Linked DNA regions of Drosophila melanogaster. The protein of the gene in region 2 interacts with the protein of the main gene of each other region in a pairwise test. Each region holds a gene or a part of one and is shown on either strand. Other genes may lie near its edges.

Evidence for each region. The genes of interacting proteins can lie anywhere in the genome.
Region 1: the proteins of CG16815 (region 2) and crc come close enough for resonance energy transfer, tested with the Drosophila melanogaster proteins (one study listed by BioGRID).
Region 3: the proteins of CG16815 (region 2) and Atf6 come close enough for resonance energy transfer, tested with the Drosophila melanogaster proteins (one study listed by BioGRID).

Annotation. Positions count from the first base shown.
Region 1 is NT_033779.5:21,307,551-21,316,527, forward strand, and holds the start of crc (cryptocephal), read left to right. Parts: upstream 1-3,315; 5' UTR 3,316-3,482; intron 3,483-3,642; exon of another isoform or gene 3,643-3,981; intron 3,982-4,202; 5' UTR 4,203-4,324; coding exon 4,325-4,493; intron 4,494-4,547; coding exon 4,548-4,658; intron 4,659-6,809; exon of another isoform or gene 6,810-7,346; coding exon of another isoform or gene 7,347-7,427; exon of another isoform or gene 7,428-7,957; coding exon of another isoform or gene 7,958-7,988; intron 7,989-8,977. Other genes in the region: mondo, read right to left, coding at 738-1,237; CG46314 (uncharacterized protein), read left to right, coding at 7,347-7,427.
Region 2 is NT_033779.5:13,226,158-13,233,256, reverse strand, and holds CG16815 (uncharacterized protein), read right to left. Parts: upstream 3,426-7,099; 5' UTR 3,352-3,425; coding exon 2,773-3,351; 3' UTR 2,708-2,772; downstream 1-2,707. Other genes in the region: Prosalpha6T (proteasome alpha6 subunit, Testis-specific), read right to left, coding at 280-1,149; CG16813 (uncharacterized protein), read right to left, coding at 4,850-5,404.
Region 3 is NT_033778.4:5,141,339-5,150,394, forward strand, and holds the start of Atf6 (Atf6), read left to right. Parts: upstream 1-3,394; 5' UTR 3,395-3,492; coding exon 3,493-3,520; intron 3,521-5,827; exon of another isoform or gene 5,828-6,840; coding exon of another isoform or gene 6,841-6,862; coding exon 6,863-7,818; intron 7,819-9,056.

The DNA.
Region 1 (8,977 bases), 8.1 Mb from region 2:
AAATTTAAATTTATATTTTTCCTCGTGTATATTGTAGTCGCTAAAGCGCATCCAGGAGAACGCACACTCTCCTAGAGCACTTAGTCACTTAGTGAAAAACAACAATGAAATCACATGGTCGTGAAAAATGTAAGGAAATCCGAATTCGTAGTTATTAACAATACGCGTATATATATGGATCATACAAACAACTACCGTAGCTGTTTTATAGTGACTAAAAACCATCATTATAACAAACAAATTTAAAATTTAAAACTGTATAACACTTTTTTTAAACAAATCCTTTTCGTTCTTTAAAAAAAAACAAAAAACAATAGCTTCACAATTCAGATTTTTAGTTGATAAGGTCTCAGATAATAATATGTTGTAAGCAAATTGCATTTCATTTTGCAAAATTAATTCATTCTGATATTGCTTTGGCAATACTTTAATATTTTCTCTATGATTGCGCTGTCGTTTGCAGAAATGGGAGAAGTAACAGAAAGAGGGGTATAAAGGGTGGCAGAGGAGCGATTGAGGCAATGTGGGGCCAAAGTAACCTGAGCAGCGACGTCACGTCTCAACATGTGCCGCGATTATGGGACCGAAGCGGTCCAAGCTTTTTCGTTTGCTGGATTTTCGTTGGCCAGTTGAGCGTTATCACGCTCGAAACGCGTGAACAAGCGGGAAACAACATTTCATAAATCTTCAGGGCCCCGGTGTTCGGTTGTGGTCTCGAGTACGAGTCTTCAACTCACCTGTAGGCCAGATTCATGCACTTGAAGAGTTTGGTGAGCGAGGTCTCTATCTCCAGGTGGGAGGTCACCATGCTCATGCTGCTCTCGTCGCCCTCCTGGTCCATGGCGCTGAAGTGGGCCACTGTTTGGGGTACGTAAAGCTGCACGTCACGACATGTGTTGGTTGGCTCGCCCGGCTTGCCCAGACCGGGGTCCTCAGGGTCTAGCATCTTCACCTCGCCGTCATCCTCTAGGTCGTCCTGCGCCTCCTCTGCCTCGAAGTGCGAGACCATAAACTGGCCGGAGTGGATAGACTCCCGCTCCGCCTTGAGCAGGTCTGCCGTAGCCTCGGCGGACCCTGACGCCGAAGCACCTACTCCCGTTTCGTACTGCAATTGCTGGAAGTTTTGGCACAGAGACTGTTGCAGATAAGGCTGCTGGTGCAGCTGAGGCAGCTGGTGCTGCTGGTGGGGAAACATTTGGCTTGTGCGTTGGTATCCCTCGTGTTTATTCAGCATCATTTTCAACAGGTGCCAGGGGATGCCTATGCAAATAGTTTACTGTTGAGCCAAAATTTTGGCGGTTGCAGATTATGTCGATATGGCGAGGGCACATTTAATGGTTTTTTAATGTCTCTCGCGTAGTAAAGGCTTTTAAAAGCTGGTGCTGACCCTTTTTTAATTTGGATGGGGTTTTTCCATCATTTCAAAATATGTAAACGTTCGCAGACTATAAAAAAAAATATGTTTTGTCTTGCCTCGTGGTTAACACATTTATTAATTCTCTCATCTAGTGTTTGTCCTTGTCATTCTATTAACTAAATTACTAAAATAAGCGATTATTTGATAGAGACATAGCACGGTTTTAAGATTTTGATTTGTTTACAATGCCCGACACCTTCAGCTTTTCGTCATCGACACCTGTCCAATTGTTGCTTTTTCCGGAGCGAAGCTTCTCTAATGGCAAACACGCCCCGCTTTTGCCGTTATATGCGTCACACAGCACAATAACAACAATTTTCGCACACACACACACACACACAATCGCGGCGGGGTTGGCTGGGGATACGGACGTCAGAACGAGACGTCAGTGGCCGCTTGTAGCTCCTTGAACAGATAGTGAAGCCCCAACTACTCGTAAACACACGCGGATCTGATGGAAGGCCAACAAGGCGGGCAGAACCAGCGCAGAACGATCGGTTTCATTCCACAAACAGAACTGATCGGAGAACGAAGCTGCGAAACGCACATAACCTGTGCGCCGCACACAACACAACAATGAACAGCTGACGCGAAATCTCTCTCTCTCCCTACCTCGCTAGCGTTGCTTATCAGCTAGGAAAACGTACATACATATGTATATGTATGTATGTACGTGTTCTTCTATATGCGCAGATGTCAGGCAGCAATGTTGTCCCCCTCTCCACTATTACTATATGGAGCTCAGTCGATTTGACTCCTGGCATTCGGCCTTGCCATCCAGAGTATGCACTCCACAAGCAGTTCTGTGTTTGCACTTTTGACCTCTGGCTCAGCGCTGCCTTTGCATTTTGCCTTTTTCCGTTCCCACTCATATACACGCGCATGCACGCGCACCACAATTTCGGTACAACTGCAACTGCCCCCTATAGCAGAAACACGGGCAGTTAGCAGGCACGACGGACTACCAATACCACGCACACACGCGCAACACAAAGCTTCTACGTAGTTTAATCACAATATAGCACACATTAACCTATTGCGGGTAGCGAGCCCTCACCATCCCATCAGGGTTGTCAAGCATTTGGTGGCTCTGATAAACAGCACCCTCTTCCTAAAAATGGCTGAAAGCTGCGAGCCGAAAAACGCAAGAATGAGCATAATCACCCCAAACGTAAAGATTGGGAAGGGCAGCATACGAGGTCATATGTTTCCTGCTCCGAAATTGCAATACAATGAATTTAGGACGGCTATTTCCCGTAATTAGTTTCCAGTTTTATGGAATTGCTATTATATCTTTTTCCGACAGCACCTTGAAACCGCATCAATAAAAAGTTAATGCGTTGAGACTAATAGGAAAAACTAGAATATATACATATATTATACTCAAATGTAATGTGTTTTTTAAACATTGTTGTGCTTAAGTAATTAGGAAAAATTATGTAAAATGGATATTTTCCCTTTATGTTCACTATATTGTTTAAGTTAGAGAATAGAATACCCAGAATAAAATTAGTGATCACACATCAAAAAACTATCGATAAACATTGAATTAGTTCCGGTTAAAATTTAATAATAAGTATTCAAACTGCACACCTTGTTACAAAGTAGTGTAACTGCCTAATTCTTTATCAGCAGACTAGAGGATTTCGCACTCCCATGTTCTTTTGCTTAAATACCTTTCTCGGGCTTATATTAGACATTATACTTTCAGAGAATTTTTTCATTTGTACTGTTAGAAGGTTCTTAATGAAATTGCTGTTCAGTTCAAAATTTTTATATAGTCATTTAATAATACTTTACGAATGATTTTGTGCGCTTTAGATTTGTGAGAAAAAGGGGTGGGATTATTTAGTAGAAAGTAGCAAGGCATTTCCCGATCTGGTAACACTGATTCCAACACTCATTACCGTTCCAAATGAAACGCAAAAAGGTTCAATTGTTATTTTCTCTCACGATTTCGGCATTTATATTAACCTAAAGATGGCTCTATAGTTTGCGCGCAAGCAAAAACAAGCAGCACCTAGGTGCCCAAACACAACAAAATGGAAACGTATAAAAATCAAAAGTGAGTATACACCAAGCTAAATTCTCGCTAATTTCGCAATTTATCACGCACACTGCCGCACTTGGCGTTCTACTCATTCATTGTTGCTGCACGTGTGTTGGTGGCATTGCCTTGTATGGATTTTCAATTGACCGGGCGAACGTGGCAAATCAAAACTCAGTGGGGCATGCCACCTGGTAAAGGTAAAGAAATTGGCTGACGCAATCGCCGACTGGAGTTGAGTAATGTGCGTTGCAAGTCGCCTGCACGTGCGAAAATGAGATGACTCACCACAGTAAGGACTACCCCAAGCGGACACAGCCCAGGACAGAGCTGTTTAAACCGGCTGCGCGATTGCAGCTCTACCCTTGCATTCTATATTTACCTAAAATGTTAAAACATAATTACTATATTACTAAGCTAGAGGGGAGAAAGAAGTTTTCAAAAAGAAAATTAAAATCAAAATTTGCGTGCTTAATCTCAACTTTTTTGGTGGTGGACACGGCAATATTGACTCTTGGTAATAAAATGTTAAAAATACATTTATCTTTCATAGTTTTCAATGAATGTAGTCTACCCTTAGATTAATTTGAATATAAGAGGTACAGTAAAATGATTAAAAGTGTTTTTAAAAGGGTAGCGACTATTCATTATCACTATGACTCGTGATAAGTCATTAAACAGCTGTGGGCTGAACAGCGAACCAATTAATCATAATTAATTCGTTTCTTTAATTCTCAGCGCCATCATGGCATTTTCACAACAACAAAACACACCGCGAAAACAACCATTCTCATTCTTCGGACCGGATTTCATACTCTCAAAACAAAACATATCTTTGACCCCTGATTTGAACTCTGGATATGGACGCGACATTTCACCAAACCATGGAGAGCTTGCAGTTGCCCAAGGAGCTGTACTGGGACCTCAAGATGGAGCCACAATCCCCAACATCGGTTTTGGGCTCCGATCTGTTTCCGCTCACTGACTCAAACGATACGGAGTGGCTGTATGACGATAACTTTGCAAATGGTTTGTGGTGCCTAAAAGTTTTTTTGAAAGGATTTTTAAGGATTTTAATTTAAGGCATTACTCTTATTGGCGATGATGAAGCCTTGACCCTGGAAGAGGTAGCTTCTCTCCAGTTGCTTAGTGATGAGGAGATGGTTGTGGAGATCTTTGACCTGAAAGATGAAGGTAGGTATATTTTAGTGTGCTTACTTTTTTGTACATAATAATAATGTAAAATAATAAATGTTCTTGTAACTGTAGCTGAGCGCAAAATGTAGATAAACCCATTTGCGAGGAGGTCTTAAACCCATAAGAACGACCTCTTAGAGTTCTTATTAAAGCACCCAAATGTTTGCTAGTCTTACATTTTTCAAAGTCCAAAATAACTTTATTTATAACTTGAAGCTCATAATATTAAAGCAAAGACCGTTACTATGATTACTATGATAAGATAATTGGTAGTTATGCCTGATACTCGTAGATCAATGGGAAACTAGGCTCATTGAAATCTAATAAATAAAAGTAAGCTTTTCCGACTCTATTCAATTACTAGCCGAGTCGATTTGGCCATGTCCGAGTGATAATCAAAATCTCAGGAACAACAAGAGCTAGAAAGTTGATATTAAGCAAGCATACTCACGACCAATTATTTGAAAAAGGGATTACATTTCTATTGATATTCCAAAAATATTTGAGAACCTTAAATTGTCCGGATCTTTATATTAGAAGTTTTTAATAAATTGAGTTTTCAATTAGATACAAATATCTTAAATAAATACACCTATGGCAAATCAGTAAAAATGAAATATTTAGATATTTGCAGGAGCTTTGAACGTCTGCAAAATTCCCGCAAAAAAGATCTTTATATAAATATTAAAACTCAACTTTTGTTGTATAGAGCTCTTTCTTAATAATTAGTGTAGATCAAGTGGATTTCATTGTCTGAGTCATTAGGGTCTCGCACATCGCATTTGAACCTAAAATTCCGACAGGTAAAGTTGAGGAACCGGTTTCAAGTTTGCTTTGTTTTCGTTAGCGTATGTTTCTGGTATTTTGGCCCTCTTTAGCTTGAGCATGAGCGTGTTTTTGTATTATGGTTTTCACCGTGCATTTTATTATTGTTTATCAACGGAGCGCCAAGCAAGCGCTGTAATGGCCAATTTCCAGGCCACAACAAAGACTCAGATCAAGCGAGAGCAATGAAATCAGTTTTTGATCGGTTTTTTGCGTACTTGATCACGCGTTAAGCGAGTGATCGGCTGGACTCTCTCTTCTCTCTGTAGCAATCTCTCTCGACTCATTGCTGACGTTCGGGTAATACATTAAGAATTCAATAGATAACAGCTGGGTTGTATGATTTTAAAGGTAGGAACTCGATCCATTCTCTGGTGGTTATGACTCTGCCCCTTTTGAAAGCTTAATCTTATAGTGTATGTTTTGTTAGTGAAATATATTAAGTATCTGCGATCAATGAACCATTTGACATTATGACCATCATAATTTTGGTATGTATTTTTCGGTCGATCAGGAAGCTTCTTTGTTTGAAATGTAAATTTTTACGGATGACGTGCCCCCTGTTTTGAGACTGTCACTAAGGCTCATTCAGGTAGATTTTTATAAATACCTTTTAAATAAAAGGAGATGAAGTTATATTGGTTATTTCAAGATGCTGGGAGATTACTACTATTAACATCTCAAGCATGTATATTGTACATATATGCATATACGAACGATTCTGCTAATACTTTAATAATTTTAGTATATCATTGTACATAGTTTGTGTAATGCATATGGAAAGTGGAGTTTCAATTTTACTGAATTTTTCTCAGTAATATAATCTTTATTCCAACTAAAATTGAGAGCAACCTGCACAGAGACTTGATTGTTGTCAAGGGTGGAAAGTTACTGACTGGTCAGGTGCACACTGCAAGCTGTTGATAATACTGTATAGAAAACCTGTGTAATTTAGAAATGCAATTTTTGAAGAACTAAAAGGGCTGAGCAATGCTGTGGTAAAATATTGATTTTGACATAAAGTAAACGAAAGTTAAACGGAAAAATATTCAGAAACCAGATTCCAAATTCCCAGCTATTTTCATTTTTGTTCAGCTACAGATCAATAAAACAAAACACCTAAATTTGCACCACTGTGCAGAGTCCGTTGGCGCAGATTGTGACTGTCCGCTTGTCTCAGCTGATAGCATCTCGGGCTCGAAATAAACCAACAGATTGATCTTAATGCAGGGCGCTCTCTGAGCTTCGCTGCCTTCCCCAGTGGTGCTCGCTCGCTCTTGCCCGCTAGTTAGCCGAGCAAAAACCATGCGCGGTTTCCAGTCGGTACTCAGTACAATTCGCTACTCAGACGCGAGCGCTCGAATTGAATCTCGGCTTTAACTTTGATTGCCGCCCCGCATTTCACACGTCTTGAACATATACGTCTTTACTCACCAACACAAAGAAAACGGCTTAAAATAAAACAATACAATAACAAATAAGAAGAGAGGCAGTAACCACACAAGCACAGGTCTTCGCGTTTTATAAACGCTAAAAAGCCAATCGAAAATAAAAATATTATTAAAAATGTGTTAAATAATTTATATGAAGGAAATCTGGTGTATCATTTAAAATAAAGTGCAGAATCTTTGCATTGAGCATTAAAGCGGATACCGCTTTCCCACTTTGTGAAGTTGGCTGGCAGCGAAGGCCATTCGCACCTCTAACTTAAGCCACAGGGGAAAACAAAACGGCTAGATTCCACTTGAGGTGATCATCGATTGGAAACTATATGTAGCCGAACCTCGGAAAATCTGCAGATTCACGGGACAATCGCGACCACCTGAAAGTTCGAGTGCGGGCTCCAAGGACTTTGTTAGCATGATACCACACTGTGGATACCGTTACATGTGGAACCGTGAAATTGTGATAAACTCGCAAAAGTTGGTTAAACGACGCTAAGCAGGAACTTCAGATTTTCAACCACGCCGACCACTTTGCGGCAGCAGTTGAATCCTACGGACAGAAATCCAGCAACCGAAGGACAGACGCACAATAAAAACCAATCACTCAAATCCCTTCATGCAATTTAAAACTTTTAATACTTTTCATATACGTTTTACCACGTTTTTACCGTTTTTACCACGTACCGTTTTTGTTTTTTATTTAATAAGAAAATGTGGTGAACTTATACCAGCCTAACCTACCCATTTTCCAGCTTTTTATTTGTACTTTCTAATTTGATTCTGTGATTTCTTACTTTCATTTGGAAATTTGATTATACATTACTGCTAATATTTTTTCTATCTTCATAATATAAGGAATTCTCCTTTTAAATAGCTATTGTTTAAAACTCGATTATTGTTAGGTTTAGGTAAGTCTACTCATTTGGGGGTATATATATACCATTTACCGTCTTAATTTTTTTTTTTAATAAAAACTTGTGGGTTAACACTTAATATTCGACAAAACGATTCACTGCTGCCGCAAAAATGAGCACCTATATATTTATGCAAGCATATGGTAAGTTACAGGTTGCTATGTTATAAGTAATTGCAAGACATAAAATTAACATTGAGTTAGCTAATCAAGTCTGCCAGCTTGTTACGTTTGTTTTGGGTCATTCCGGTGTTTCTTTATACTTCCTCGAAATTCCTTTATGTTATTATTGTGTATAAATACTAACTAAATTCAATATTTTTTAAAATTCGTTTGCATATAGTGACTGGAATTGGGTAGCAAGTTATTATTGATATTTTGTTAGCCATTGGCTGTAGCTGTAGCAGTATATCAGATTGTGGAACACGTTCATAAAGTTTAGGTTAATGCAAGTTCTAAGCCCGTATGACATTACAACTCGTAAAACATCGATCTACAATAAACGTTTTACATAAACTTTCGTGGTTTCATCTCCTACAATGTTTTTCTAGGCTAAACAGCCCGAGTGCACACTTATTTGCACTCGCCTATAGAGTAAGTCTAGCTTCAAGGTTTTCGCTAATCATGCTCTCATTTAATATAAATATGTATGTATGATTATATTTATTTCCCGTATGATTGTGTTGTTGTCCCTGTCGTTTTATTCGATAATGCAAATGGCAACATTGTTTTCTTTATATTTATAAAGCTTTTTAGTTTTTTTTTTTTTGGAAATGAAGGAAAACTAAATAATTTATTTATTTAACTTAACTTAAAATCTAATTATAGATAATATATAATGTAAATGCTTTCCAAAGTTTTTTTCCTCCCTTTTATATATGAACAAGTAAAATTTAAAGCAAATGGCAACATTTTTTCTTCATATATATAAAGAAAGAATACTTAATATATAATTTATTTCACATGGATTCAAAAATTAACATCTTATTATAGATAATATAATATTATATATAATATAATAGAATGTAAATGTTTTCAAACGATTTTTTCGTCCCTTTTTTATATAAATAAGTAAAATTTAAAGCTAAGCATTTATTAACTTGCAGTTTAGAGTGTATATTATAATAGAGTTT
Region 2 (7,099 bases):
CCCCTAATCCCTGTGGAAAATTTCAACGTATTAATAGGAATGGCAAGTGCTATAGTGTTTCCATTATTTTAATCCGATTAGGTTCCATAAGATGAATATATATGCTATACATGCTATTAAAACTAATTCAGAATTCAATTTCCTTGCTAACCGTTTCTTGTTTTTTTCTTTGACAAAAACGAAGCAGCCATACAACATAATAACTATAAACTTTAATAACATTATTAACGAAACAATAAATTTAGTATACTCTGTCAGGGTTTCTAATCACAGATTAGATCAATGTGCGTCACTGCCGCCGGTGGATGCAGTGGTTTCCATGTCAGATGTATCATTGGGTGGAACTCCACTGCTACTCGGTCCGTGGTCCGTCATGTCATCATCGCTCATTCCCTCCTCGGATAGAGGATCGTGGTCCGCCTCCAGAGGTGGATCCATAGCCTTGACCAATTTCACATACTTCTGGTTCTCGGCTTCCGTAAACATTTTAAACGGCACATCCTTGCCCACAATGGCCACATTTATGGTGAGATTCTCGACATCATCGGAACCCAACGATCCTCGAATGGCCTGAATGGCATGACATATCAGTTCATCCATGTCGCAGTCCTCGAAACTCTCCATATTTCGCTCCAGATATGTGCGAGCACTCTGCGAACGAGATCCAATGGCCATTGCCTTGCAGTTGAGCACATTGGCCGTGGGCATCACCTGGTAGATATGTGGTCCCTGCTCATCGTATCCAGCCACCAGCAAGCCCACACCGTAGGGACGACGATCATAGCGCTGGGTGGTGGTCTGCAGCTTGTTACCCAGATTGGAAACCAAACGGCGAACCGGAAATTCTGCGTTATAGGAGTGCCGATATGCCATGCACTCCGTCCTCATGTACTGGCACACCACGCGGGCATCTGCCGTTAGTCCTGCGATAGACATACCCACGTGGTCATCCACCGGCATGATCTTCCGCTGGAGCGTGTTCGTGTCCTTTGAGGTGCGGCACAGGGCGGCCAGCACGGCATAGTCGGTGCCCTTGAGTCCCACGGTGGCTGCTCCCTGTTTCACCGCCTCCATTGCGTACTCCACCTGGAAGAGACGACCCTGCGGACTCCAAGTGGTTGTGTCGTTGTCATACTGATTCCGGAACATGGCCAAAAGTGTGAATGAATTCAGCGAAATAACGTTAGCTTGTTAGTTGCAAATTTGTCTAGCTTGAGTTGAAAGTAATTGAAAACTGATATTAATTTCAAGGGTTTGCTTATTCATAGAATTTCTTAAAATATTTACTCGTGTAATTGTTAATTAATCAATTTGTAATGGCCAATTCTAACTAATTTCATAGAATGAGGTCACAAAGAAAGGGTTTCGATGCATACCAAGAGAAAAGCCAATTGCAATCCTAACTTTGCTTTCACTCCAGCTAACTTGCATAATGCCTAACCATGTAGAAAATCAACGGTCTATGAGGAAGTTCGGGTGATCCGATGGAAAAAACATAGGCTGATGTTCGTCACTGAGTGCACCCGCCTCATATGCAGCCAACTGCATCGGGCTGTGAGTGAAAAATAGGAGCTATGATTTAGTCGAAGTATTCATGCTGCCGGGGAAGCCCCCTGCACATAACATAATTAACTCTTTTGGCGATTGCGCAATCGCTGTGCGCGAGCAGTTAATTACTTTTAATTTTCATTGATAGTACTTGTGGCAGTCCGACTTCCTATGGCGCAAATTTCCGTCGCAACTCCAACAACCCAGTAAACCACTTTGCACTTGTACCATGCAGCCAAACATCAATTTCAGTTAATTGTTGAGTTTTTTTTTTTGTGGCTGCATTTGGTTTTTTTGTTTTTGGCTTTTTTCTTCTTTTTTTCCAACTGGCCTAACATTGAAAATTGCATTTCTGCGCTTCGAGCTGTGTGTGCTTGCAAAACTCCGTCTCACTGGCCAATTGAACTTGAAGCTTTGCTTGGACTTTGTCTATATCTCCATATCGCCACATCCGATCTCTGTCAATATCATTAGCCAACAATCCACCGCGTTGAAGGCGATGCCAAAAAGCTTGGCCCAGTCCAAAATGTGGTTCTTTGTGGCGGGTTTGAACCTTGACGAAAGCCGCCACGAAATGAGAACGCCATGAAAATTAGCTAGACAACAATTAGTTGAACTTTGCTGGGTAATGGCACTCTGGGTAAATGGTTTCTCGGAAAAATCTGTCAATGCTTCGATGACTCACTTACTCCAGTGGTCAGACAAGTCACTGGAGTAAGTGGTTTTTGAGCCCTTGATTGAGCCCTTTTTTACCAAAAGTCATATCAAATAATAGATAATCTACTTTTGATAGCAGTACTTTTAGTTTTATTGAGCTAAAAATTATACCATAAATTTTATATATTATGATCACGATTAGGTTGTAATTAAATTAGAAATGATAATTGATCTCTTAATCATTTTATATAATTTTACTATTTTTCAAGCCGGTGGGTTAACTTAAAGATGTTTAAAATCCTAATATATATAGCATTATTATACATATGTAAAAAAATGTAATGGTTGCGATCCACTGACCTCCTAACAAATTTAACAATCATTTTAGATTAAATTTCGAATTTTCCAAGTGATAACCCCCAGTTAACAAAACCGGCAATTTAAATTAAATGCATAACTTTTGATTTATTTCAAAGTCAACAATAAATATTAATAATTAAGGCTTAATAAACTAAATCACATGATTGGGCTATCCATAGTCGCTGATTATGATATGATTTTGGACGGTCAGCAGTGCTGGCCACCAAAGATGAGCATCTGCTGGGAGAGGGCCATCTGCTGGAGGAACTGTTGTTGCTGCTGCGGCAGGATGTGACCCGGTGCCGGATTTATGGCACGCTGGAACACCGCCTGTTGGAGGATGTGGCGGTAGTATAGACTGAGGCGCACCTGCTGTTCCAGCATGGCGGCATGATGACTCCGATACTGCTCGTACTGCTGACCCACTTGCTCCTCCTGTGCCTGCTTGGCCCGCCGGCTGAGTAGGCAAGCCAGCGTGTTTCTATCGCGGCGCATCTGCTCCTTGGGGCTTCGCTGACGATTGGTGTTACTGCGGCGCACCATGTTGGCACGGTACTGGCTGACCGAGGATCCTGGGCCACTGGGTTTCGCCGCCGTTGACGTCTCCTTCTCCGCCTGTTGGTTCTGCTCATTATCCAACCAAGGTCGGAAGAATCCCTGTGTCTGACGGCGCTTGAAGATCGGCTGTTCCGACTGCTGAGTTTGGTTCTCCTTGTCATGGTCCACTTCCCGTTTCCGCTTGCTGACGGCAAACTTCTTGTGGGTGTAGCTCGATGAGTTCTCCATTTTTGTATTTCGATAATATGACTCCGAATGAGTTGTGGTGATGATGTGACTCGTTGGACGATCGCTTGCTGAATGATTGGCTTCGAGATTGATATCCTGGTTATAAGCACAGTAGGTAGGCGGTACAGGTAGCCACATAGGGAAATCCCTTTGTTTTGGGTCTGTCAACAAAGGGATTAGCGCATCCATTCCGCATTAGGTAATCTCCGTCCTGGATTAAGCAGCATATTTTATGACCTGCTCTATCACAGCGCTAATTGTCGTCGCAGGATTGCCTCATTATCCTTTTTTTGGTGTGTGGATTACCTGGATTATCGGACAAATGTGGCCACCGGAACAGGAAAGTTCTGGACCGAACAACTGTTATGCAGGCGATGCATTTTTTTATTGACCTGCATGACACAATTTGTTGTGGCACCGTGTGTGGTCCCTTTGGCTCCTGGTTCCTCAGCACACTTTGTTTTAATTCCCTGGAAATTCTCGAGGGTCCTTTGCCGAACACTTTTCCTCTAGAATGACATGGCATTATATGTCCTGGTCGGTGGTTAGAAAAAAGTGTCAAGGATTTTTAAAGACTGCTGACAGATGCGATTTCAGTTTACGGAGAAGGAATTGCATTCATGGAAGTCTTGAGAGGTGAATTAAATATATTTAATCCATTTATTAGTTTAGGTAGTAAAACACGCCTTTAAAAATATTTAAAGAGTTAAATAAACTTCGTACAAACATGTATACGGCATATATCATATATATAAATGAATTAGTAAAACACTATTCGTGTAAATAATTTAGTATATTAAGATTTATTTATCTGCGCAATTTTTAATCGCGGACAACAATATGATGATTTCATTGATGATTATTTAAATATAAAGGCGGATCTTATTGTCACCGTGTTTTAATTATTTTGCAAGCACTTTGTTCGTTCGCTATGCTGATTTGTTTATAAATTAAATAATTAAATCCAACTGAAATAAATTACAATTTTATTCCGTGTTTCCCACAATATGTCACTCGTGCCGAATCGATTCAATTCTCACTGTAGTCTGGCTATGTGAATCACTAGAATTACTTCACACCTTAATTAGCATTGCAAATTGCGCTTCCAAGAAATTAATTACATAAGATGTATTTAATGTTATATAATGGCAGAAAAACCAAGTGAGGTAACTCTTATGAGCTGATGCTTCCGGTCAGTTTTGGTCTAGAACAAATCCTCATGATGTTAAACGGCGGAAAAGAAATATCAGACTTCCAAATAAGATTCAATAAATAAGACCCCGAGTTAGATTTCAATCAATCAGAAACCAACTAAAAACCAATTATTACAAAATTCTATAAAAATTACAAGTTATTTCGATAACAATTAGTGTGTTTATTGTTTAGTCAACCAGATAAATAAATTAAACTTTAAAAGTAATCACAATCACTATTCAGCTTTTCTACAATAAGTTAGGGCGCATTGAGCAGCGCCCAGTCGTTGCACCATGTCCACCCTTCAAGGATGCTGGGTGGTGGTCTGTTGGCGCGGCATCATGTGCCTTGGCTGTGTGGGAGGCAGTGGCTCCGTGGAGGCCATCGCCTGCTGCAGGAAGCGCACATAGTAGAGACTCAGGCGGATCTGCTGCTGCAGATTGGCCTCGTGCTGAATGCGACTGGTCAGGTATTGTTGTTCGATGAGCTGCTGCTGTTGCTGCTGGGAGCGTCGATGGCGCAGGCTGGCCAAGGTGTTGCGATCCCGACGCAGTTGCTCCTGTGGACTGCGCTGGCGGCGCTTGTGGTGATTGCGCACCATGTTAGCGTGGTAGGTGCCATCCACTTGTTGTGGCGGCGGTGTCGATGTAGCCACAATCTTACGTGGCGGCTGTGGTTGCTCCTCTTCCGGAGACTCATCCATCCAGGGTCGGAAGAAGCGACGCTTAGGCTGCGGCTGCTCTGGAGTGCGTTGGCCCGGCTGTTCCATAATGAAGACCACATCGTCATCAGAGTCCGCATCCATGCTGCGCTTTCGCTTCAGAGCTCCAGTGAATTTCTTGTGGTTATAGTTATCCATTCTTGATTAAGAGTAGTGGTGTTCGCTTTGCTGTCTTCGAGACGACTGTGCTGCCCCTCCTCCTGGCCATCCGTTTTATGCAACATTAGGTAACTTGCAGAGCCTCCCACGAAAACGGAATGGCCAAATGGCAAAGATTTTCCCATCACGTACCTGGGGATCACGGTAAAACGGATCAGGTATTTCCCCAACGCATTTCATTCATTCCCTAAAAATGGGACCAAAACTAATCGGCTGCTGTTACCTGAATTGGGAATAGGGAGTTCCTAATCCGCAGGCTGGCAATCTTCTCAAAGGGTGTCATAAACCAGTTGTTGTCCTTGCCTCGTCTGTTTACGTGGCCGACGATTTTCGACGAAATTACCTGTTGTCGGGCCCGAAAAAGGGATCTCTGTGTAGAGGATCCCTGTGTAATCTCTAATCCTGGCGCTCAATTCGTCCAGGCTGTCTGCCGGCCGACCCGCTATTGTTTCGGCTTTCTTTGTGGCACCTGAATAGCAGACATGCTGCAGTTTTCAATGCCCGATCTCGATTCGAACAACAAGCGTTTATGACTTTCAGCTTGGACAGCTGAAGAAAAACCGTCTCGGAGTTTCTGAATCTCCCGGTACATGTACATACTAGCAAACCTAGAAAACCGGCAATTACTGAATGCTCCTCCCTCTGCTCCCTGGTTTCGTGTCTTTGGCATTATGTCGGATTTTTCCGTTTCATTCAATGGTCCATTGTCCATTGATTTATGCCGTCAGGGAACGAATGTATATGTGGTAGATGGTTCTCACATTTCAGTGTTCCTCCGCCTAAGCGGATTTATTTCAGGTGGGCTTGAGACGAGCCCTCCTCGAGGAATCCCAAAGTCAATAAGCAGGAGCGGAGTGGGAGTTGGTTATTTGTTCAGTTGAAGTATTACAGTGAAAGATTGTCGTATTGTTTGATTGTTTTCCTTTTATTATATTGATCAATTTTCATCTGTTCTGGAACGCAGAGAATCGATTGCATTGGGTCCTCCAGGGTAGGTGTTGTTCATTCCTTCAAGGGGAATGACCTTAAAAAGAGCAATAATATCCTACCAGGAAGTGCTTTCACCAATGATACAATTAAAGGTTGTCTTATATAATGTTGTATTAACAGGATGGTGGATGGGAAAATAGATTCCCATATATTTTTCTAAGGAGTAGATCTTTTCAGCGATGGGAAATTTTAGCCTTGAAAAGTTTGCTTTTTTCTGAGAAACAAGAAGGAATTATGTAGATGAAAATAAATAGGTAAAAATGTCTATTTAAAATATTATGATCCAGAATCGAGAATATATAACTTTGTATGATAGCAACGATTGTATCAACTTGCGTCCAGGATAACCTTGTATAAATATACCAAGGATTATTCACTTTGAATGGTTTAGAATATTAAATTAAGTCCAAAGATTACTTTTAAGAATTCACTTAAAAAGGGAATAGAAAAGTTAAGGATATATGTATATATTTTTAAATTCGTATAGTTGTAAAATAGTAAAAGCAGTAGTAAACGTATTTACAATAATGAAAATTCGAACTGCATTTAAATGTATTAAAAATTTTAAACAATAAATAAACTGCTTTAAGAAAAACCTATATGTGTGTGTGTTTACATATTTATGTACTTGTATATCATAAAACATTATCTTTACTAATGATATTTAAAGTCGGTTATAACCCT
Region 3 (9,056 bases), on a different chromosome or scaffold from region 2:
TGTGGGCGCTAGAGAGGGCTGCTAAAAGTTTTGGCATATCGATAAAAAAAGCAAGTCCAATGATAAAATCGATAATAACTGGAGCTGTTTTCAATAGTGGGGTGACAATTTTGTGGGCGCTTAAGTGAGGATGGTAACGTTATGAAATAACATTTTACAGCGTGGCGGCCGTCACTAGAATCAGCATCTCAAATCTTTCTAGCTTTTAGAGTTCCGGGGCACTCTCTTATACGGACGGACAGACGAACATGGCCATAGCGACTCGTATAGTGATTCTGATAAGGAATACGTATACTTTATAGCTTTTGATTCGCTTTCTACCAAAGACCCTAGAATAACAAGATGCGTAACGCCATACGATTTTTTGGCACACGATTTTTTGGCCGTGGCTCTAGAGGTGGCTCCAGGCTCTCTCGAATTTTTGTTAGAGAGCGAGAGAGCGAAGAGCGCTACAGCGAACAGCTCTTTTCAACGCACAAAGTGATAGCAGACAACTGTATGTGTGCACACGTATGCTCATGCATTGTAAATTTGACAAAATATGCCCTTCACCTTAGAAGTGATCAGCGAAGACTCTTGCTCTGTCCGTGTCACTGCGAGACCAGTTTCCGGAAGAGTTACGGAGAGGTACAACCGTGTCTGTTGGTGCCTTTAGGTTCCTGTGGTCTTTCCACAACGAGTTTTTTGTTCCTGTGGGCGTGAGATTCTCGATGTACCTTAGTAGTGCGTCCGCTTTTGCGAGAATCTGCTTCTAATTATTCTTTGCGCCACGTGATCTGTGCTACTGCCACTCCCTTCGAAGTCCTCGTTTTTCAAGCACAAGCATTTCAATATTCATTCAACTTGTCTTGTTAAACTTTATCCTGCTTACATGGTTGTCTTGTGGAGTTAACGCTTTTACTGCTGCGAAAAGTATTGATTCTATATCACCAGCAAACTGATCAATGTCTTGCTCGGTTGCCAGGGGTTAAAAAAGCCGGTATGGGAACAACATATTTTTTGTACCTCGCCCAGTTGGTCCTATTGCTTGTAAGCCTACACGGTCGCTCCAAAGACACTAGAATAACAAGATGCGTAACGCCATACGATTTTTTGGCACACAATTTTTTGGCCGTGGCTCTAGAGGTGGCTCCAGGCTCTCTCGAATTTTTGTTAGAGAGCGAGAGAGCGAAGAGCGCTACAGCGAACCGCTCTTTTCTACGCATACAGTGATAGCAGACAACTTTATGTGTGCACACGTATGCTCATGCATTGTAAATTTGACAAAATATGCCCTTCACCTCAGAAGTTCTTAGACTTTAAATCTATATTATTTTTGATCAATTGGCACCATGCGAAAAATTCTTGTTTTGCATTGCCTTAACGTTATTATTATTTCAAAATAGATTAGAAATAGCCAAATCTATGTACATATTATCACAAAAATAAATTTTTATTTTTATTTTTAGAGTATTCATCTTGCGGCGTGTGAAAAATTAATAAGGCAATGATTGTTGAGTGCTTGTGTCCGCACTTCGTGCCTCAAGATATGAACAAAGCAAAGACACTAGAATAATTCTAGTTTCTTTGATATTACTTTTGCAATAAACAGTTATCATATTTAATTATTTAGTATATTTATTAAATCATTTGACTTAATATGATGTAACATTAACATTAAAAGTGTTTCAAAAAAAATATTTCGCTTTTAAAAAATTGTCAGATGAGAGACAAATTAGAATTAAACATAAATATAAATGTGTAAACGGTAGCTAATTCGAGCGGCGATTTTAACAAACAAATTTAAAAAGCTTTAAAATTATAATAGTCAGGGCGCGAATTTTTAAAAATTTTTTTATTTTATCATATTGCTAGGAAATTGGCAAAAACTACCCTAATATGTACCATGTAAATTCGTTTCTTCGATCAGAATTGATTTCGGCCCGAAAATCGTCTTCTAGCACAACACGCACACTTATACGCGTTCTCGTCTCTTGTTTTTACTCACACAAGCAAGCAAATTATATTTTTAGATTTCTTACGCTCTAAGCGGGAGTGAGCGGAAAGAGAGTAATTTTGGCCGTCACCAAAAAAGTGGCTGCATAGTGCCAAACCAATGTATGGCCGTTACGCATCTTGTTATTCTAGTGTCTTTGCTTTCTACCTCTTATAGTACATACATGCCTATGAATCTAGTATACCATTGCACTATGGGTAAAAAACCGGAAATTTTTGTATTAATGTAATATTTTTGTGATTGATATTTTAATGCTCCTTTCATTTTTTGATTTCTAAGTAACAAGATAGCATAAAAAAAATGTTTTAAACCTTTTTACGAGTTATCGTTTATTTTTGGCGCACTTTCAAAGTCAGCTGATTCAGAGGTGCTTTGAATTGCGAAAATGGTCGGAAAAAGTTGAACAAATGTGCAGCGTAAACATTGTCTTCATAGCAAATTTGGAGTTTATTTTTAATAATGGAAAAATGGAGCAACAACAAACGCGATGCAGACGCTATTAACAGTTATATTGTGGAAAATATACAAGAGAACTTTGAGACTAAAGAGCAAAAGATTACCAAATAAGCAGGCTGCAGAATAAGGGCATTCAACTCCACTTCTCGTACATGCTGCTTCATTTTCCGGAAAACAACGAAGCAGGCAGAAACGGCCTTTATATTGAAAAAAAGGGAATTGAAAACATACATAATATAAAAAAGAAAATTGAGACAAATCATTCTATTAAAATAAGTGCTGAAAACGCTTTAGCTTTCCCAATTGAACATGGATTTACAAAGTAGCAATATAATAATATAAAACCGCTCAATAAGCATAAAGGATGCGATATTTTCCATCCTTATTCAAAAGTAGCAGAAGCAAGGATGGATAACAAATATAAAAAAATTTTGACTTTTATTTCATAAAATTGGTTTTTGTATCTTGTGTCTTCACTTCGCTCCCACGCCAATCCTTCGCCCACCATCCATCTCCCTTGAAACCCGCTTTCATATGTATATAAATACATTTTTCACTTTATATTCAAGGATTTTTTTGGTGGGCGGAGATGAAGGCGTGGTCAGATCAAAAAATAAACAAAATCCGAAATTCTATTTAAATCTTAATTATAAACATAAAAAAAATCAAGTCGCTATCTTTATAATTGTAATTAATACCAAAATTCCCGGCTTTTTACCCATAGTGCATTGTACTCTACAACTAGTGGATATAAAGCTAAGAAGGTAAAATCCGTCCTCAGTAGATGGTGATTAATAGTTTTTTGTGATAGTTTTGAAACTACTTTTTTATATCGATATTTCTTAGGAAGTCTCAACCGCTCCGACGGATGTGAAAAGTACACTTACTATATAAGCCTAAAATGTGAAATTACTATTATAGTATATATTGATAATTAATATTTTAATGTGCCAAAACGTCGTGTATTTGCTGACGTTTGCTGTGGTAATCAATTCTGGTTCAGTAAACATATTCAATTCGAATTCTATGGCCGATTAGCTATGGACATCAATGAATATAATTTATACAGTAAGTTTCCTTCTCGTCAGTGACAAGCAAAGCAAGTTGAAAAAGTCTTGCCCTAATATCTATTATCAAATTCATCATATGTATGAATATGTGTAAAATGTGAAATGAGTGGCTGGCACCCTAATTTTTTCTGCTTTAGAATCAGCGAAATGGAATAAAAAATAAAATGTATATTAATGTATGTATTAAAAGAAATCGATTGAACAAAGGTTAAGAGAAAAACATAAAAGGGAAGTACGACATACGATATTTGAATAATAAACAACAATATATAAAATTAAAAGATTTCTTAATAATTAAAAATTCGCGTCCTTATCATTACTGTCTATCAATAAATCTTATAATTTGCTGACGCATTGCCATACGTAAAGTGATAGCTTATTTCGTGCAGTTTAAACAGGACAACCTTACAAAAACTTTGTCCCTTTCTTTGATAAGTTGATAATACCATATGTATCTTGCAACAGTGTAATTTTTTTCGATTCCTGCGTAAGTTACTCTTGTATTCTCAAATTTTTGCTATCGGAATGTTTAGTAAACAGTTAACAGCTGTTTAAGCTGTTTTTCAGACAATAGAGCGGCCCATTCGACAGTTTTAATTATTCACTGCAATTAAGTTATTAAATTAAATAGGATTTTTTTCGAACAACACTTTTAGTCATCCTTTTTAATTTATTAATGAATTATTTTATATTTTATAAGTATTTTTATTGCCTGTTTCGTTTCACCAACAGCCTTTGCGATAAATTTTGTCGACGTATGTATAATAAACAATTATAATAATACAACGTCGCCGCAGGAGTTTTGAAAGTATTTCATATTTTTTTAGTCTTGTAAGTTTACAATGGTTTGATATTTTAAATTTTTTCATTTAATTTTTTCCTGACAAAGTTAGCTAATTACAATAACAATGATATAAATAACAATTAAATAAAAATGATATAAGTAACATTTAACTACATAACAATTATGAGATCATCATCTCCTGGCTCTCGTCAAGGGTGACCTGTGGAGCCTTCTGGGTGGGCGACCTTTGTTTAGTGCCTTGGCTAGGATATTTCTATACCGCTCTAACGTGTCGTGGTACCGGCTAGAGTGCATGTTTATTGTCTCGAAGACAGTGGCTAGTTTGAGCTCTTTGTTGTTGTGTTCCTTACGAACCAATCGCAGCCGGTAATCATCCTGGCGATTCTGCTTTGGGGAGCCTGAATACGACGGATTTGGCTGTCGCAGGCCAAGCCCCAGATTTGATAGCTGTACCTCCATATTGGAGCTATAATTTGCTTGTAAATTATCACCTTGTTGGATAGTGACAATTTACTTCGCGAATTTATAAGCCAAAAATGGTGCACGCATACGCATGCTTCGAGAAGGTGAGTCTCCTATCCAGGATTTTTTTTTTAAAATTAATTTATTTATCAAGGCATACGGGGAAATCTTGGAGCCCCTTTGTGTCCTTCTTTTCTATTAATTCAGCCCATTTGGGCGCGTCGGCTAACTATAGTTAGCTTTTTCAAGTCTACAGTAATTTTACTACAATTACATAACAATCACATATAACAAATAGGATTTAAGATAAGCGTCAGCTTCTGCTGACCCTTGTCAAAGGAGATCGGGAAATGAGATCCTCGGTTACCTTCTATTGAGCTTCCTTGGTGGGCGAGGTCTGCTTAGAGCGCTAGCCAGCCGATTTCTGTGGCGCCCCAAGCTGTCATGGTATCTACTCGAGTGCTGCTTTATCTCGTCAAATACCGTTGCGACTTTCAGATCTCTGTGCAGGGTGTTGTTTCGCACAAACCACTCGCAGCCGGTGATGAGTCTTGCGACCTTATTTTGGATAGCCTGGATCCTTTTGATTTGGCTGTCGCATACCAAGCCCCAGATTTGCCACCAATACTTCCAGTTTGGTGCTAAGATCTGTTTGTAAATTGTCAGCTTGTTGGATAGCGACAATTTACTGCGCGAACAAAGTAGCCAATAGTGCTTCGCCACCTTAGCACGTAGGCGCGTTCCGATGCCGGTCACATGCTTGGCATATGTGAGTCTGCAATCCAGAAGCACTCCAAGGTACTTTGCTGCGTTCGGCTGTGGTACGGGGGCTTCCTCGATGTAGACGGGCGGTGGCGTTCTCCGTTAAAGTATAGCAGACGTTGTTGGATTTACTGCTATTGATGCCAATGTTCCAACGTCTTGCCCATTCCGAGAACCGGTCTGCAAAGTCCTGGATACCATCGGCTGCGTCGTGCTCGCATCGGGACCTGTAGGTGACGCACACGTCATCACGCCAACATTGATTTTCCGTAAAGGCTTACATCCGGCTGCGGCATGTCGTGGCTATACAGGCAGTAGAGCAGGGGGCCGAGGACACTACCTTGTGGAACACCAGCTGCCACTTTGTGCTCGGTGGAAATTGCTTAATGAAAGCGCACAGCGAACCTCCTTCCTTCCAGGTACGACTTTAGCAATCCCAAATATGGAGCAGGCAGCGTCTGCTTGATTTTTAGTTGAAGTCCAATATGCCACACTCGATCAAACGCTTCTCGAATGAAGAGGCTGTTACAATATTCCTTACTGTCGTAGGCAGTCAGAATTTTCTCGACGACCCGAGGGAGCTGCTCGACAGTACAGTGGCCAGCACGAAAACCGAACTGGTGCTCAGGGGTAATCCCCCGGGCTTCCATAATCCTTACAATCCGGACAGCAATCAGTCTCTCAAACACCTTAGAAATTGAAGGGAGGAGACTGATCAGCCGGTAGGAGGCGGGCTCCCTTTCCGGCTTGCCAGGCTTGTGGCTTGTGAGCACACATTCGCTGATTTGTCACCATTGATACCATGTTCCAGCGCCTTGCCCATTTCGCAAATGTTGATGCAAAGTCCTGGATGCCATCAGGAGCATCTTGTTCGAAGCAGGACCTGTAGGTGACACACACGTCATCTGCAAATGTTTCCATCATTGACGTCCCGGGTAGGCTGGCGTCTGACAGCGGCATGTCATAGCTGTACAAACAGTAAAGCAGAGTCCCAAGTACATTTTCCTGTTGTACTCCGGCTGCCACATCATGCTTATTTGAGAGAGACGAATGAAATCGAACTGCAAACCTTCTCTTTTCGAGTTTTATTTCTCCTGGCCGATTTCTACCGATATACAAAAAACAATTTGCCCATGCCTCAACACTGTCATGCCCACAGTTTTTTACTATTTGTTATTTTGTAATTTAGTTGAGTAACGGGTACATGATAGTCGGGATACCCGACTATAGCATTTTCTTATATTCCTGTAATATTTTTAAGATTAATAATATTTTATTCTTTAAGACAAATGACGCCATGTTTATTTTCAGACGATTTATCGCTGTTGGGAGAAGTGACTGAAAATAACTACGACAATAATATTGTACACGACATTCTGAACTCATCAGCATTCTACAATGATACATCGTTAGATCTAAGTGAATTAATACCTGATCTTCAAAAAGAAGCCTTTGGATTGCATTTCTCGTCAAACCCAATAACTTCAGAATTTAGCTTGAGTTCCCCGATTTCTGGTTTGAAACAAATTCCTTCAGCGTGTTCTGGTGAATTTAAAAGAAATGTAAATGACAATAATTTTCAATTGGATCTTACCAACAGTAGAAATGATTTACCTGAGCCTAATTCGTCTCCCACAAGAAGCTTAAATCGTTCAAATGTAAATGGATGTTCTAACGAAGAGGCGGTCTATCCACTCTTAGTCGATTCAGATAAGTTTGATCCATTTTTTGAACCTGCTAAAGTTCGGAGCCCCAACAAAGAATTCAACAGCACGATTTCTAATCTATCAGATATAAAAAACGAACTTCCGGAAACTTCCCAAGACTTGGGTTTTAATTCATATAACACTTCAAGGAATAATTCAACTTTAACCAAAAGCTGGCCAATAAATACTGAGCTGAATCTAGATAATCAAGTTCCAAAAACAGTTTTACCTTTGTCAAGGACAATTTATTTACCTTCACATGATTACAAAGGGCTTTTGCCAACAGTGAAATGTAACGGTGATAGAACCTTAAAGAAAAATGTTAATGTCAGGTCTAAGATTTCTAATATCGTTATTAAGAAAAAAAATGCAACTTTTATACAATCATTGAAAGAAAGCACTCCATCACATACAATGGATGATAAGATCTACAAAAAATATCAACGTATGATTAAGAACCGAGAGTCTGCTTCCTTATCACGCAAAAAAAGAAAGGAGTATGTTGTTTCATTAGAGACTCGAATAAATAAACTTGAAAAAGAATGCGATTCCCTAAAAGCTGTAAGTACTCTCTTTCAGTTTAAATAATAAACTTACCTATTTTTACTTGTCATTCGAAAGCAAATTTGGTAATTTAATCTCATTCCTTCTTAACATAATAAGTAGGTTACTTATTCTTAATTAGCCTTCCAATTTTCATATGATCTCAACATGTCTGAGAAAACGCACCAGTAAGTAAGGTATATTATATGTATTACTTTATTCCGGGATAAGCCACAAACAGCCGATTTTCGCTAACCTCAATACGAAATGGTTATTTATTTAAAAATTATGTAACACACTAAGAAGGAATGGACAACCCTATTGTTGCAATACGTCAAAAAAAAACACTATCGTAAAGTTTGACATGTTTTAGGTAATACGTACTCAGAACTTTTTGTTATACGAGCGTTATTTGTGTTGTTTACAGTTAGTTCAGAAATTCCTCTCACCCCAAAACGTGGATAAATTCACCAACAGCTCAGATCAATGGTTAATTGCTCAATAGAAGGCTCGTGTCGGTTGGTCGCAAAAAATAAGCGAAATACGCAATAAATGCGATCGCGGTGCTTCGAGTCACGTCTATGAGATCGTGACAGGATTTGGATCTATATTTGGATTTGATGTGGATTTACAGTAACTTCTGAGTGGTACACAATCATTTGTTGTCAGTTATCTTTCAAAAAATTAGAAAAAACAACAGCTGAAGACCGATCACTATTTATCAAGACAATGCGAGCTCTCGCACATCGGCTTAAACATCTGCACCTGCAAACAGCGACGGCATTCGCCGTGTAGTCCTGACTTGTCGACTTCTTTTTATTCCCGTTCGGCAAAAAAAAAAATGAGAGGTCAACGTTTTTCGACAATTTTTATACCCGTTACTCGTACAGTTAAAGGAGTATACTAGATTCGTTGAAAAGTATGTATGTAACAGGTAGAAAGAAGCTTTTCCGACCATATAAAGTATATACATTCTTGATTAGGATCAACAGCAGAGTCGATCTGGCCATGTCCGTCTGTCTGTATGAACGTCGAGATCTCAGGAACTATAAAAGCTAGAAAGTTGAGATTCAGCATACAGATTCTTTAAACAAAGACTCAGCGCACAAAACTTGTAATGCCGTCGGCGGCAAAACTGCTGGATTAAATTCATTTCACACACAATTTATACAAATTGAATTCTAAAGAGGAAGTCTTAATGAATCTCCTTAACGATAGAAACTTTCAGTCATTCAGTCAATTCCTACAACTCCCGC